Linked DNA regions of Arabidopsis thaliana. The protein of the gene in region 1 interacts with the protein of each later gene in a pairwise test. Each region holds a gene or a part of one and is shown in the gene's direction. Other genes may lie near its edges.

Region 1 (6,019 bases):
ATTTTGACATGATATAGAGTGAACCATTTCTCATAAGCAACGTGTTACGGTATTAGATTGTTTGTTGTTCGTGTTTGTCATTAAACAATAAACGTCGTTTTTTTAAATATTATTTACATGTTTTGTGTAAAGCCACAAAAAGAATAGTGCAGTCCATTGGTGACTGTGATGACACTTTCCTCGCTTCAGATCAGACTATTGGCGTAAGCGATTACGTATTAATTTCAACAACATATATAGTAAGAATTAGAATTTGGATTATTATGCACTTTTTACACACTATAAAACTCTAAGTTTTAGTTTAATTATCAGCTTTTTAGTAATGGTCCCTGTATACGTTTCATGCTTCAAAAAAAATATGTCAAATAATGTGGGGCATATTCATTATACGTTAAATTAATGAAACTCGCATAGTGGTCCAGCAAAATCAATAAATTCGTTTTAATAAAGAACATTATTATTAAATCGCTGTTAAGAGTCGAGAGGTTTCCATATTGTCCTCCCCACCATCTGCCCATTCCGATCCAACTAATTTCCTTATTATATTCTACAAATATATAAATACTTTAATAACCAATGGGATAGTTGTTAACTTCTATCAACGTGAAATTATTTTGACACAAATATTATTTGGTTTCACTAAATTTGTTTAATTTCAATAATATTGTGGGAGTAGATGACCTAGAGTAGGAGTTTAAGTGTGGAGCTTCGAACAACGTACGAGAGACACGGCGGACCAAACGAGCCACGTGTTGTCTCTCTTCTTTGCCCATCCCTTCTTCTACCTTCTTTGAACGTCAAATTCTTATAGGTTGAAATTTAGTTTCAATGTTCAAAACAGAAAATAATGAATTAAGAACATAATCCAGCCTACCAGAAATAATATCAAAACAAATTTGCCGTTCATATTAAAATGTTTTTCGCCATGATTATCCACTTGATAAAATGTAGTACATGAGATGAGACTATGAAGTGGGACCCGTCTGCTCCCTAGCTCACATCAAAAGTTATAACTATTCTACTAAAGTAATCTTGCGTTAGACGCTGTTCACATGGATGCTGTATTATGCGCTCAAATATTAATATCGAATTTAAGTTTAAAGAACTGTCTAAAAAACTCCACACTGCTGCACTGAATCTCGATTTGAAATATCTTTGTATCAAACATGTTAATTACTGATTGGCACATGTTTCTTTATTATTGTTTTGAAAAATAAAAATCTACATTAACTTGACTGATATAACATTTAGTAACATTAGAACTGCGGGAGATATATGATTACAAAGATCATTTTCAATCTGAGTATTTTCAATCATTTTCATACCATAGAAACATTTATAAATTCTTGATTAACCACTGCAACAATGCAACATTGGATCGAGCTTCCACGACTAAAAGGGTATTTCTATGGACTATGGGGACTCCTATTATAGATATTTAGGGGGCATATACATGGATTCTTAAAAGAGAATTACAACTTTCAAATCATTATCATATTCCAATATGGGTTCAAAGTTTCTTTAAGCATACGCCTTTAGTTAATTGGAGAATCTTTTATTCTTTAATATATATAATGCTTTTTCAGGGATATAATGTAGTAATTTACAAGATACAGTTCTACTAGATTTCACTCCTGAAAAAGTAAACTTTATAATCTTTGGTTGTTACTTGATAGTGGTTCTAGATTTTGAAACTTATCCTTATTCCTTAATATTTTATATATCTATACGAACCAATTAATATCTTTTTACTTTTAAGAAACCATGTAAGGTTTTATCATACTAAAAAGAAAAATCTAGTTTTGTCTCCATTTGCTAGCTAGGTTTTCCCCTGTTTTAAGACTAGAAAATATACGTAGCTAACAAATCTGTATAAAAACCAAAAAAAAGTATTAAGAATCAAGCCGAACTAAATGACATTTGATTTTCATTCCATTTATATATATTTGAACTGATAAAATTATAACTGAAATTAATAAGCATTATTGGGCATCTAATTATTTATTTATTTTGACTGAACAATCTTTCAGAATTCAAGATAGAAATAAAAGCAAAATAAAAATAAAATGACTAGAGAAATGTAATTCTAATTTGTCATAAAAGGAAACCACTGAGACATTATCTGTTTAATTATTGATGTAGAAGGAAAGACTCCCACTAGTCCCACTTGGTTCGATACCCGCGCTTCAGCCTTCACACCATCCACGTCCAGTGCAAAATTCTTCGGGCTTCCACTATATAATCTTCTAAACAAAGATAACACAATAAAATATAACAAGATGATATATTCAAATATAATCTTATCCGATCCTCTATTTTGGAGTTGGCGTGCGTGACTGCATGCCATGAAGTATAATATAGATGGAAATTTGAATAAACATGAGATCAATCGGCTAAAAGCAAGGTTGTGTTATATCGATCATCTTAATTCTGATGTAAATGTTTTGACATAAGCGTACGTATAGGTATGATACTAGTAAAAATACAAGTTTAAACCTGTCTGATTGTTCACATTTCTTAAGTTAAATTAGTCAATCGAAAAGTGAAGTTTTAAAGAGTTAATGTTGTTTACATTCGATGGTATATAAGTGAGTTTTCCATCATTTTTAGTTTCATTATGAAAACATTGTCTACTTCAATTTTTTGTTTCCAAGTTAGGAGAATTAAACAGAAAATTTTTCATTGCTACTATTTAAGTTCTATTTATTTTGTTTTTTTGAATGCTATCAAACAATCGAATGGAATGCCAATAAATTTATTTGAATATATCATTCTTATTTTTTTTTGCTGGAAAATATAATTAGTTTACATTGAGGAACTACCGAACTATCATGGGCATAATTACTTCTCATCAGTCAAGCTCTCATTATATCGCTGTGTTTTATTAATCCAACAAAGTAATAATTAATTATTTTTTTTACTTCATGGACATCTCATATAAAACAAGAAATAATTTTCTAGGAATAAAAAAGAAAAGAAAAAGAGAGATATAATTAAACAAAAAAAAAAAGATATGATTTGAGAAACAAGAAAGAAGGAAAAAAGAGGAGCTGATATTACATAAGTACCCTCTTACATTACTACTCCATAAGAAGATCTCACATCTTCTCTCCTATCATTTTCAACTACCACCATCTCTATCTCTCTCTTAATCGATCGATGAAGATCAGGTGCGACGTCTGCGATAAAGAAGAAGCGTCGGTGTTTTGCACGGCCGACGAAGCATCTCTCTGCGGCGGCTGCGACCACCAAGTCCACCACGCTAACAAACTCGCCTCTAAACATCTCCGTTTCTCTCTCCTTTATCCTTCTTCTTCCAACACCTCCTCTCCTCTCTGCGACATCTGTCAGGTCTCTTTCTAACTTCGGACATGAGTTTTGTTGTCTTAATTCAATCGTTTTTGCCGATCAAGAATCTGAAACTTTTTCTTTTTATTGAACTCTAGGATAAAAAAGCTCTGTTGTTCTGTCAACAAGATAGAGCTATTTTATGCAAAGATTGCGATTCATCGATCCACGCTGCGAACGAACACACAAAGAAACACGATAGGTTTCTTCTTACAGGGGTTAAGCTCTCTGCAACATCGTCTGTTTACAAACCTACTTCGAAATCTTCTTCTTCTTCTTCAAGCAACCAAGATTTCTCTGTCCCTGGATCATCAATCTCTAATCCTCCTCCTCTCAAGAAACCTCTCTCAGCTCCTCCTCAGAGCAACAAGATCCAACCCTTTTCGAAGATCAACGGCGGTGATGCGTCGGTGAATCAGTGGGGATCCACAAGCACGATTTCTGAGTATTTGATGGATACGTTACCTGGTTGGCACGTTGAGGATTTCCTCGATTCCTCTCTTCCTACTTATGGTTTCTCTAAGGTTTGTTCTTATCTCTTTAATCAAGAAAGATCCAAGTTTAGTTGATTTCAAGATTTGACAATGACCCTTAGTAGATTGAATTTTTTTTTCCTCTGTTTACGTAATATCATATCATTTTAGATCTAATGAGGTATTAATGTATTATAAAGGTAACAAACTTTATAGATGTGGATAGATCTTTTTACTATATTGGGTATTTGTGTAAAATTTCTGAAAAAGAGTTGTTGGTTATCTTTTGTGTGATTGCAGAGTGGTGATGATGATGGAGTGTTACCATATATGGAACCAGAAGATGACAACAACACTAAGAGAAACAACAACAACAACAACAACAACAACAACAATACAGTGTCACTTCCATCTAAGAATTTAGGGATTTGGGTCCCTCAGATTCCACAAACTCTTCCTTCTTCATACCCAAATCAATACTTTTCTCAAGACAACAACATACAGTTTGGGATGTACAACAAAGAAACATCACCAGAAGTAGTGTCTTTTGCTCCAATACAAAACATGAAACAACAAGGACAGAACAACAAGAGATGGTATGATGATGGTGGCTTCACTGTCCCACAGATCACTCCTCCTCCTCTTTCTTCTAATAAAAAGTTTAGATCTTTCTGGTAATTTTACTATCTCCCTAAATGGGGGAGTTTTTTTTTTGTTTGTTTGTTTCTCCTTCATTTCTCCCAACTTTGATCTCAATAGAATTAGGCTCTCTCTTTTTTTGTGTTCTGTCATTTTGTAAATTTGAGTGTGATTGCGGTTTTGCTGTTTTAATCTTTGTAATAATCATATAATCTCTTTCCATTAATGCACATGTTTCATGTACAAAATCCTATGACTCGTTGTTTAATTTGTAAACTTTCTTTTTGTCGTGGAAACAAGATTTCAGAGAAAAATTAGTTTATTTTCAATTATCATCTACATTATTTTTGTTTTCTCAAGGAAAAGAAAGTCAAACTTTAAAGTAAAGTTACAAATTCGATGAATGAAATCTAGTGGTGCGTATATTTTAGTATATGAGGACAGTCTTTTCTTTTTCATCTTCTGCCTCTTCAGTCCCCATAGCCCATATGGGGAAAGGATTGTTCTTGGATTTGGTTTGTATATAAATAATATATCTTAGGAAATAAACGATAAGAAAAAGAGCATATAATGGAGACAAATTCACAATAACGTGCCCATCACCATCGCCCATCGGCATATTTTTTGTTTTCTGATTGAATATGCCTGCATAGATCTCTGATGACTAAGGAGTATGGACACCTCATCATGGCAGGCAAAACATATTTAAATTAATTAAAGTACCGACTAGTCGTTTACTTGTTAAAGTTACCAAACTAAAATGGTACAAAAACAAGTAAGAAAATAAGAGTTATATTTATATATCTTTTTTTTTTTTTTTGGGTTATATTTATATATCTTTCGTTGTGTTTAGCAGGCCCAACTAATTGAGGCCTATTTTTGATTTCAAAATATCAACCATTTGCTTTTCATATGGTTGATACTCGATATTTATGTTTTTAGTAGTACTGTATTCCTCATTGGTTTTAGTGTTTTTAGGTGCTGGCAAGTAGCAAAGCCTCAAAGGCATTATCTAAAAGAGACATATGATTCTGTGATTCTGTGACCGGCAGCCAAAACATATGCCGAAAAAGATGAATGATTAAAGTTTGAGTCATGAATGCTCCCCAGAAAGATTTTTATTTCTTCACCTTTTCGAACTATTTTCTATGGTCATATACTTGGATAATTTCTCGAAAGTATTTTCCACTTTCATATGTACACTCACTAACCTATGTGATCCAGTGATCAGGATAAGATCGAGATAATGTTTTAAGCAACAAGGAGACATACAGTAAAATAATGATCAAGAGATAGTAGTAGTATAATATTGGTCATTGTCATGCTCTAGAATAGATCATGCTGATATCGGGTTGACACATTTTCTTTTTGGTCAATACTGACTGTTGCATAGCTCCGGATACTAGTGTGAACTTTGGTTTGAGATACCAAATTACTACAAAAAAACAATCACTTAAATATTAATTCCTCTTGTAAACAAATGAGTCTAGTTCTTAACGTAATAATCACCTATTTAGATTTGCTAATTTAACAATGACCTATATTGTTTTGCTTCGCCT
Region 2 (6,214 bases), on another chromosome or scaffold:
AAGTATTACCGAGATATTTGTTATCATGTTATTCTGATAATACGTTATCTGCTAACTATTCTGATTCATGTATTTTTTACATGATTATTAAGTCGCAAGTCAACTTTTTTGCTTTATATGCTAAATATTTTGTTACTTTTTAATAATAATGTTATCGTCTTCGCATATATATCCGTATAATAACCATATTGTAACTATGACAATTTTGTAATTAATCCAAATATGAAAGATACTTTTGGTTTATATTTTTTTTCTCTTTCATATTTACCTAATTTTTAAATTATCTCTTCTACTTTTTTAATTTCAACTTCTTCTAAGTATATAAATTTAATTCACCCACTAGATTTTAACCCGCGGTATACCGCAGAGACAATTTATTTTTTAAATTAGTATATATAAAAATTTACAAATTAAATCTATTTATTTTTATTTTATAGTTTACAATTGTTATTAAATAACATCCTGCCAAACCCGTCTCGCCAAATCCGTCCCGTAAAAAAAACCCGCCGTACACCACTAATTTAAATATATAATTAAAATAAATATTTTATGGGATTGCAATTGTATTTTAGTTTGTCAAACAAATATTTGTTTTAAATAGTTGCCAAAATCTAGTTCAAATTTTGGAGAAAAAAGATTTATTGGATAGATAAAGAATGTATTTAGGTGTGTTTTGTTCATTTTAAGGGATTGCAATTATATTTTTGTTTGTCAAATATTTATTGTTTTAAATAGTTGCTGAATACTATGTGCGTGACATATGAGATTGGAATATATTTGGAATATTTTTAGTTTGTTAATCAAATTATTTCTGGAAAAAAATCAATAATTAAAATGGCAGTCATTGTAAATAAGTCTAAACTTCATAATTTATTTAACAAAATAGCTGCATTATATAGACAATAAAATGACTTTTTTTTTCCTTTGTTTCTCATATATTGATAGATCACATAATTTATTGAATTAATATATACAAACAAGAGTTCCACTAATTCTTATTTGTTATTTCGATTCCACTATTCAACAAGGTCCACACTATTATTAGAAATTCAAACTATACTTACCATAAATATCGAAATCACAACTAGTCAGTCACACACCTATTCTAACATTAGAAAAACACCGACCTCATTGCACCACTATTATTTGTAGTTGTACCTCACAAAGCACCTCCCTCAAAGTCTTCGCAAAAACGTCACCCACCACCACGAAAATTCATAACCAAATAAAACGACAATTTTGTAATTCTTGATTTAATAAAAAAATTAAGTAAAAAACAATATTCTTACCATTTTGTCGCCATATAATAAGAAGAAGAGAGACACAACACAACACAAGTAGTAGAAGTGGTGTAGTGATTACGGTGTAACGCTTATTCCAAAAACCCCACGCGCGTAGGGCCCACCTCTCCCCCGAATCCCCATGATTTTCTTTAACGTCTCTCGAGTGCTGGTGGGACCCTTGTTTTATGGAACCCTGATGTAGTTTTATGTACTTTCATTTGTGACCCTTATACTTCTGTTAATTACAATCTTGCCGCTATTTTGTTGCTTCCTTCTTGTTTTTGTTACCTTAAAACTTTTGTTTGAATGCCTTCAGAAAAAGTTTACTTCTCTTTAGACGGATGTGATCACTTGTTCAATGTAACACCACCGTAAGTTACAGTGGTTAAAATGTCTGGTAGAATTATAGCTGTATATATTTATTGATCTCTAAAAAATTAGCTTGTAGAAATTATTGTCTTTAAATTGTTAGTAGGATCCATCCAACTACTACTTAAAAAAATCTGATTAGTATAAGATATATTTATGATTAATAGAAAAATAATTTTTGTACAAGAGATTAATAACTAAGATAGTAAAATTCTATCATTTCATTTCTAAAACCAAAATAGATGAAATTAATAAATAAATAATTATTGATTTCATGTGTGTTTAAACAATTTTTTTTTGTATCACATTATGTAAAGTAACAAGTTATCAATTTCATAAAAAAATATTTACGATAATTACATTGTTTTCTTAATTTTTTTGTCGACTATATATCTTAAAAATAATGTTAAAAATGCAACAATTTTGACAGTAATTCCTAATCATACGAAAATTTTCAAACTTTGCAACTTCTTCATGTATTATTGCATTGACAATCAGTTAATAATTTTACTTTAATAATGTTGTCTAAGTAAAAAAGAAAATTAAAAGTTAATAATTGAACTAAAAAGTGAATGTCGAAAAAAAACATTTAACTTTTTTACTTAGCTCTCTCGAAAGTTCCTCAAAAACCGAAGGACGAGTAAGTCACGAAAAAGACCATTTTGTAACGCCTCTCTATCAATTATTCCTCTATGTGTCAATAAAGTATATTTCTCAAAAGGAAAACAACAAAAATGGTTTTCGATTTCTTGTACTTTCAAAAATAGCATAAAAGCCAATAGATTCTCCTCTCTCAAAGTTTCGCCCCTTGTTTTTACTTTCTCTCTCTTAAACCCCAAAAAAAAAAAAAAGATCTTTTGCTATAAAATCCCACTTCACACTTTCTTCACATCAACAACAAAACCTCTCTCTCTTTCACTTTCTCTCTAAAAACCAGAAAAAAAAAAAATGGAGCTTTCATCGAGAAAGCCTTATTTCATTGAGGAAGAAGAAGAAGAGAATTTGGCTTCTTCTTTATCAGAAATGGAAGCTGGGTTTTCTGGTAACAATAATAATAGTAATAACCATGGAAATCCCCAAAACGGTGTCGTTTCTTCAAGCCGTTTCTCTTACGGTAGATTAAACAGTCTTAGGAACAGTCAGAGTTATTATTACAATCAATACTCTGTTTCGTCTCCGAGATCTGTTGTGTCTGGAAGATTTCATGATTTCAGATTCGATATTCAACAACCTCATTTCTTGGACTCGTGTTTCCTCTGTAAGAAACCTCTTGGTGATAACAGAGACATCTACATGTACAGGTAACATCTAAGATCTATAACATCAGATCTGTTTTTTTTTTGTTTTCTATCAATTTCTCTCATTTTTAGTCGAAATTATTACGAAAGGATTGATTTTTTTCGAATACCCATTTCTTCAATCTTCTGATTAATCAATTAAACGATTCATGGGTCTGATTTCAAATTCCTCTGTTTTTGGTACAAATTCTAGAACAGAACATATTTTTAATTTTGTTGTTTCATGGGTCTGATTTGAAGTTTTTGATTTTGTGAATTTTTTGCAGAGGAGATACACCGTTTTGCAGTGAAGAGTGTAGACAAGAACAGATAGAGAGAGATGAAGCAAAAGAGAAGAAACAGAATCTGTCTCATTCGGTGAAATCAGCTATGCGGAGGAAAGAACAATCTTCACCAACTAGATCTCGTGATTATGCTTTTCACAATGGAACTGTTGCTGCTGCTTAATTAAAAATATCTGGGAACTTTGAGAATTATTATAATTAATTAGGTTAAGAAAAAAATAAGCTATATTGTATCTAACGCTATGAAGCTGGTTTTGGATCCTCTCTCTTTCTCTCGAGATCTTAAGGATCTTTTAAAACTTTAGCTTCAAGTCTTGGGAAAAAGATGAAGAAGCTAAAGATCCTTTAATTTTCTTTTCTTTTTTTGTAAGAAAAAAATAGTTTCTTGACATGAAATTTTGGGAGTATGAGAAGAGAAAATGTAAATGCCTATGTGAATTATAATAGTCCATGGCATGTTTGAGTTATATTTTTTCTTTTGTTTTTAGATTTCGGTATCAATGTCTTTCGAGGGATATACAGATGTTAAATCAAATTTTAATATGTTGAAATATGAGAATATTATACGAGAAAACAAGAGTAAGCATTTTTTTTTAACTTGCTATATAGTTTTTTTTTTGGTAAGTACTTGCTATATAGTTTAAATGACGTATTTGTGATTTGATATAAGATTGAGCAATAGTTTGAAATTGATTCTTTTTGTGGTAAGATTTGGTGACTTGCGAAAAGTGGGAAATAAAGGTATAAAATATCTTTTTCCTTCAAATGCTTTTGATAGTACAGTTTTCTTTTTCTTCACGAAATCGGTAGTACAATATTTTCTGAAACAAATAATTAGATATCTTTTTTGATTATCAGTGGACCAGAAACTCAAATAAATTGAAGTATAAATATATATATATATATATTAAAATAAGATTTGTAGAATGTAATAATGCTTAAAACGTATAAAGTTTTCATGATAAATTCCAAACAACAACATTGCATTTGCATTCGTACATAGAAAACTTTGGCTAAAACGTTACGCTATCAACATCAAAACACTCTCATAAAACTTGATCTCAATGATTCTCATTCACCGTATTGAATTTTATTTACAAAACACACAATAAGATACATTTTCTCTACTAATCTCACAATAAACCAACAAATTGCATAAACTTATTTATAATATATAAACTTGCAAAAAAACTTCTAAACTCAAAATCATCCTCTGACACTAACCCCTCTCAAACTTTGTTTCTCAGGTTTTGCAACTTGTCTCCTCCTTACCTGACTACTTTCCTTGGTCGTAGTCGTAGCCATCGGATAATCTTCACTATCCGATTCTTCGATAATCTTTTTCAATCTTTCCACTACAATTTCCATCGTAGGTCGCTCTTTATCGTTCTTTTTCAGGCAAAGATCAGCCAATTTAGCCAAACTCCTAGCTCCAGCAGCTGGATAATTGTTGCGTAACCGAGGGTCAACGATCATGCTGAAACGTTGACTATCAGCAGGATACTCTTTGACCCAATCCAATAGCCTTCGTTCAGCCACTGGCTTGTTCCTCTCAATGGTTCTGCGTCCGGTTATGATCTCGTAGAGCACAACACCGAAGCTATAGACGTCGCTCTTTAACCGAAGATGACCTGTTTGCACGTATTCCGGAGCCGCATAGCCGTGTGTTCCAACTCTCTATACATAGAAAGAAGAAGAACTGTTAAAACTTTGTAACAGATTCATCACTTTAAAGTACGAGTGAGCTTATAAAATGCACATTTATATATCAAACCAAACTTACTGCGGTAGTGACATGAGTATTGTCGCCATCAGGTCCTTCTCTGGCAAGCCCAAAGTCCGATAATTTTGGACAGAATTGATCGTCTAAAAGCACATTAGAGGATTTGAAATCTCTATATATCACCTGTCAACCAAATAAATAGGAAATTATCTTCCAATCTAAACACTAAACACACATCCCCGGTTCACAGAAGTCTCGATCCTAAACTACTAATCATGTCTCTATGACCACATTTAATATAACTTAATGTTTAACATTGTGCCTGTCCGAAAATATCAAGAACAATAAAAAGGGTCTGTCTAAAACCAGATTTCCTCTAATGGGTTTCGAAATTTTACCTTAAGATCATGTAAATAAGTCAATCCTTCAGCAGCACCAAGCATGATCTCGAGTCTTTTTTTCCACGGTAATGTGTGTGATCGACGAGGGAAGAGATGGTCTTCTAAACTTCGATTCGACATGTACTCATAAACCAAAAGCCTCTCGATCCCGGTCTCGCCGTCTTCCGAGCAATAACCTATGAGCTTCACAACGTTCGGATGATTCACTACTCCAAGAAACTGAACCTCTGCTAGCCATTGCTTGTGACCCTAATACACCATTCAAACACAGAGAAAGGAATATTACTAAAGCAACAAAGTTGACTTAATAAATGCATCCATTGACTCATACTTACTTTTCCATTTGACCATTCCACTAAATCTTTATATCAAGATTACGAAATTTCTTCAACTTTACTTCAAACAAGTGACAAAATTTGATTTTGCTTCATAATTGCATCAATCTAATCTTCTATTTCAACTTCTTAGCTTCAATTAATTGGTTAATTTATCTTCTAATGATTATATTAGCAACAAAGCAGAGAGAAGATTAACTTTTTACCTGTAAACCTTGTCGATTGAGTTTCTTGATGGCAACGACAAGTGGAGGATCAGAAGAATCTCCATTGCTGAGAATCTTTCCTTTATAAACAATACCAAATCCACCTTCACCGATCACAAGCTTTCTGCTAAACACATAAGTGGCTTTACTGAGTTCTTCGTAAGAAAAAACCCTAAGATTTTGTTCTCTCTCTGTATACAAATCTTTGATACTTCTTGGAGAAGGCAACGATCTTGGTGTCTGGAGATTAAACGAAGACGTTTCACTCCGATTCGTCAGTTCTGGAGCTGAGTTTTGTAACAACTCTTTACCTTT

Evidence for each region. Proteins that work in one complex are often made in the same cells at the same time.
Region 2: the proteins of BBX21 (region 1) and AT5G47060 interact in a two-hybrid assay, tested with the Arabidopsis thaliana proteins (one study listed by BioGRID).

The regions. Positions count from the first base shown.
Region 1 is NC_003070.9:28,362,900-28,368,918, forward strand, and holds BBX21 (salt tolerance homolog2), read left to right. Parts: upstream 1-2,924; 5' UTR 2,925-3,159; coding exon 3,160-3,351; intron 3,352-3,446; coding exon 3,447-3,872; intron 3,873-4,121; coding exon 4,122-4,499; 3' UTR 4,500-4,839; downstream 4,840-6,019. Other genes in the region: AT1G75550 (glycine-rich protein), read right to left, coding at 5,780-5,895. UniProt on the Arabidopsis thaliana protein: Transcription activator that acts as a positive regulator of seedling photomorphogenesis. Acts downstream of COP1 and play an important role in early and long-term adjustment of the shade avoidance syndrome (SAS) responses in natural environments.
Region 2 is NC_003076.8:19,114,243-19,120,456, forward strand, and holds AT5G47060 (hypothetical protein (DUF581)), read left to right. Parts: upstream 1-2,542; 5' UTR 2,543-2,600; coding exon 2,601-2,953; intron 2,954-3,216; coding exon 3,217-3,397; 3' UTR 3,398-3,975; intron 3,976-4,222; downstream 4,223-6,214. Other genes in the region: AT5G47070 (Protein kinase superfamily protein), read right to left, coding at 4,441-4,911, 5,018-5,140, 5,356-5,607, 5,900-6,214. UniProt on the Arabidopsis thaliana protein: May act as an adapter to facilitate the interaction of SnRK1 complex with effector proteins, conferring tissue- and stimulus-type specific differences in the SnRK1 regulation pathway.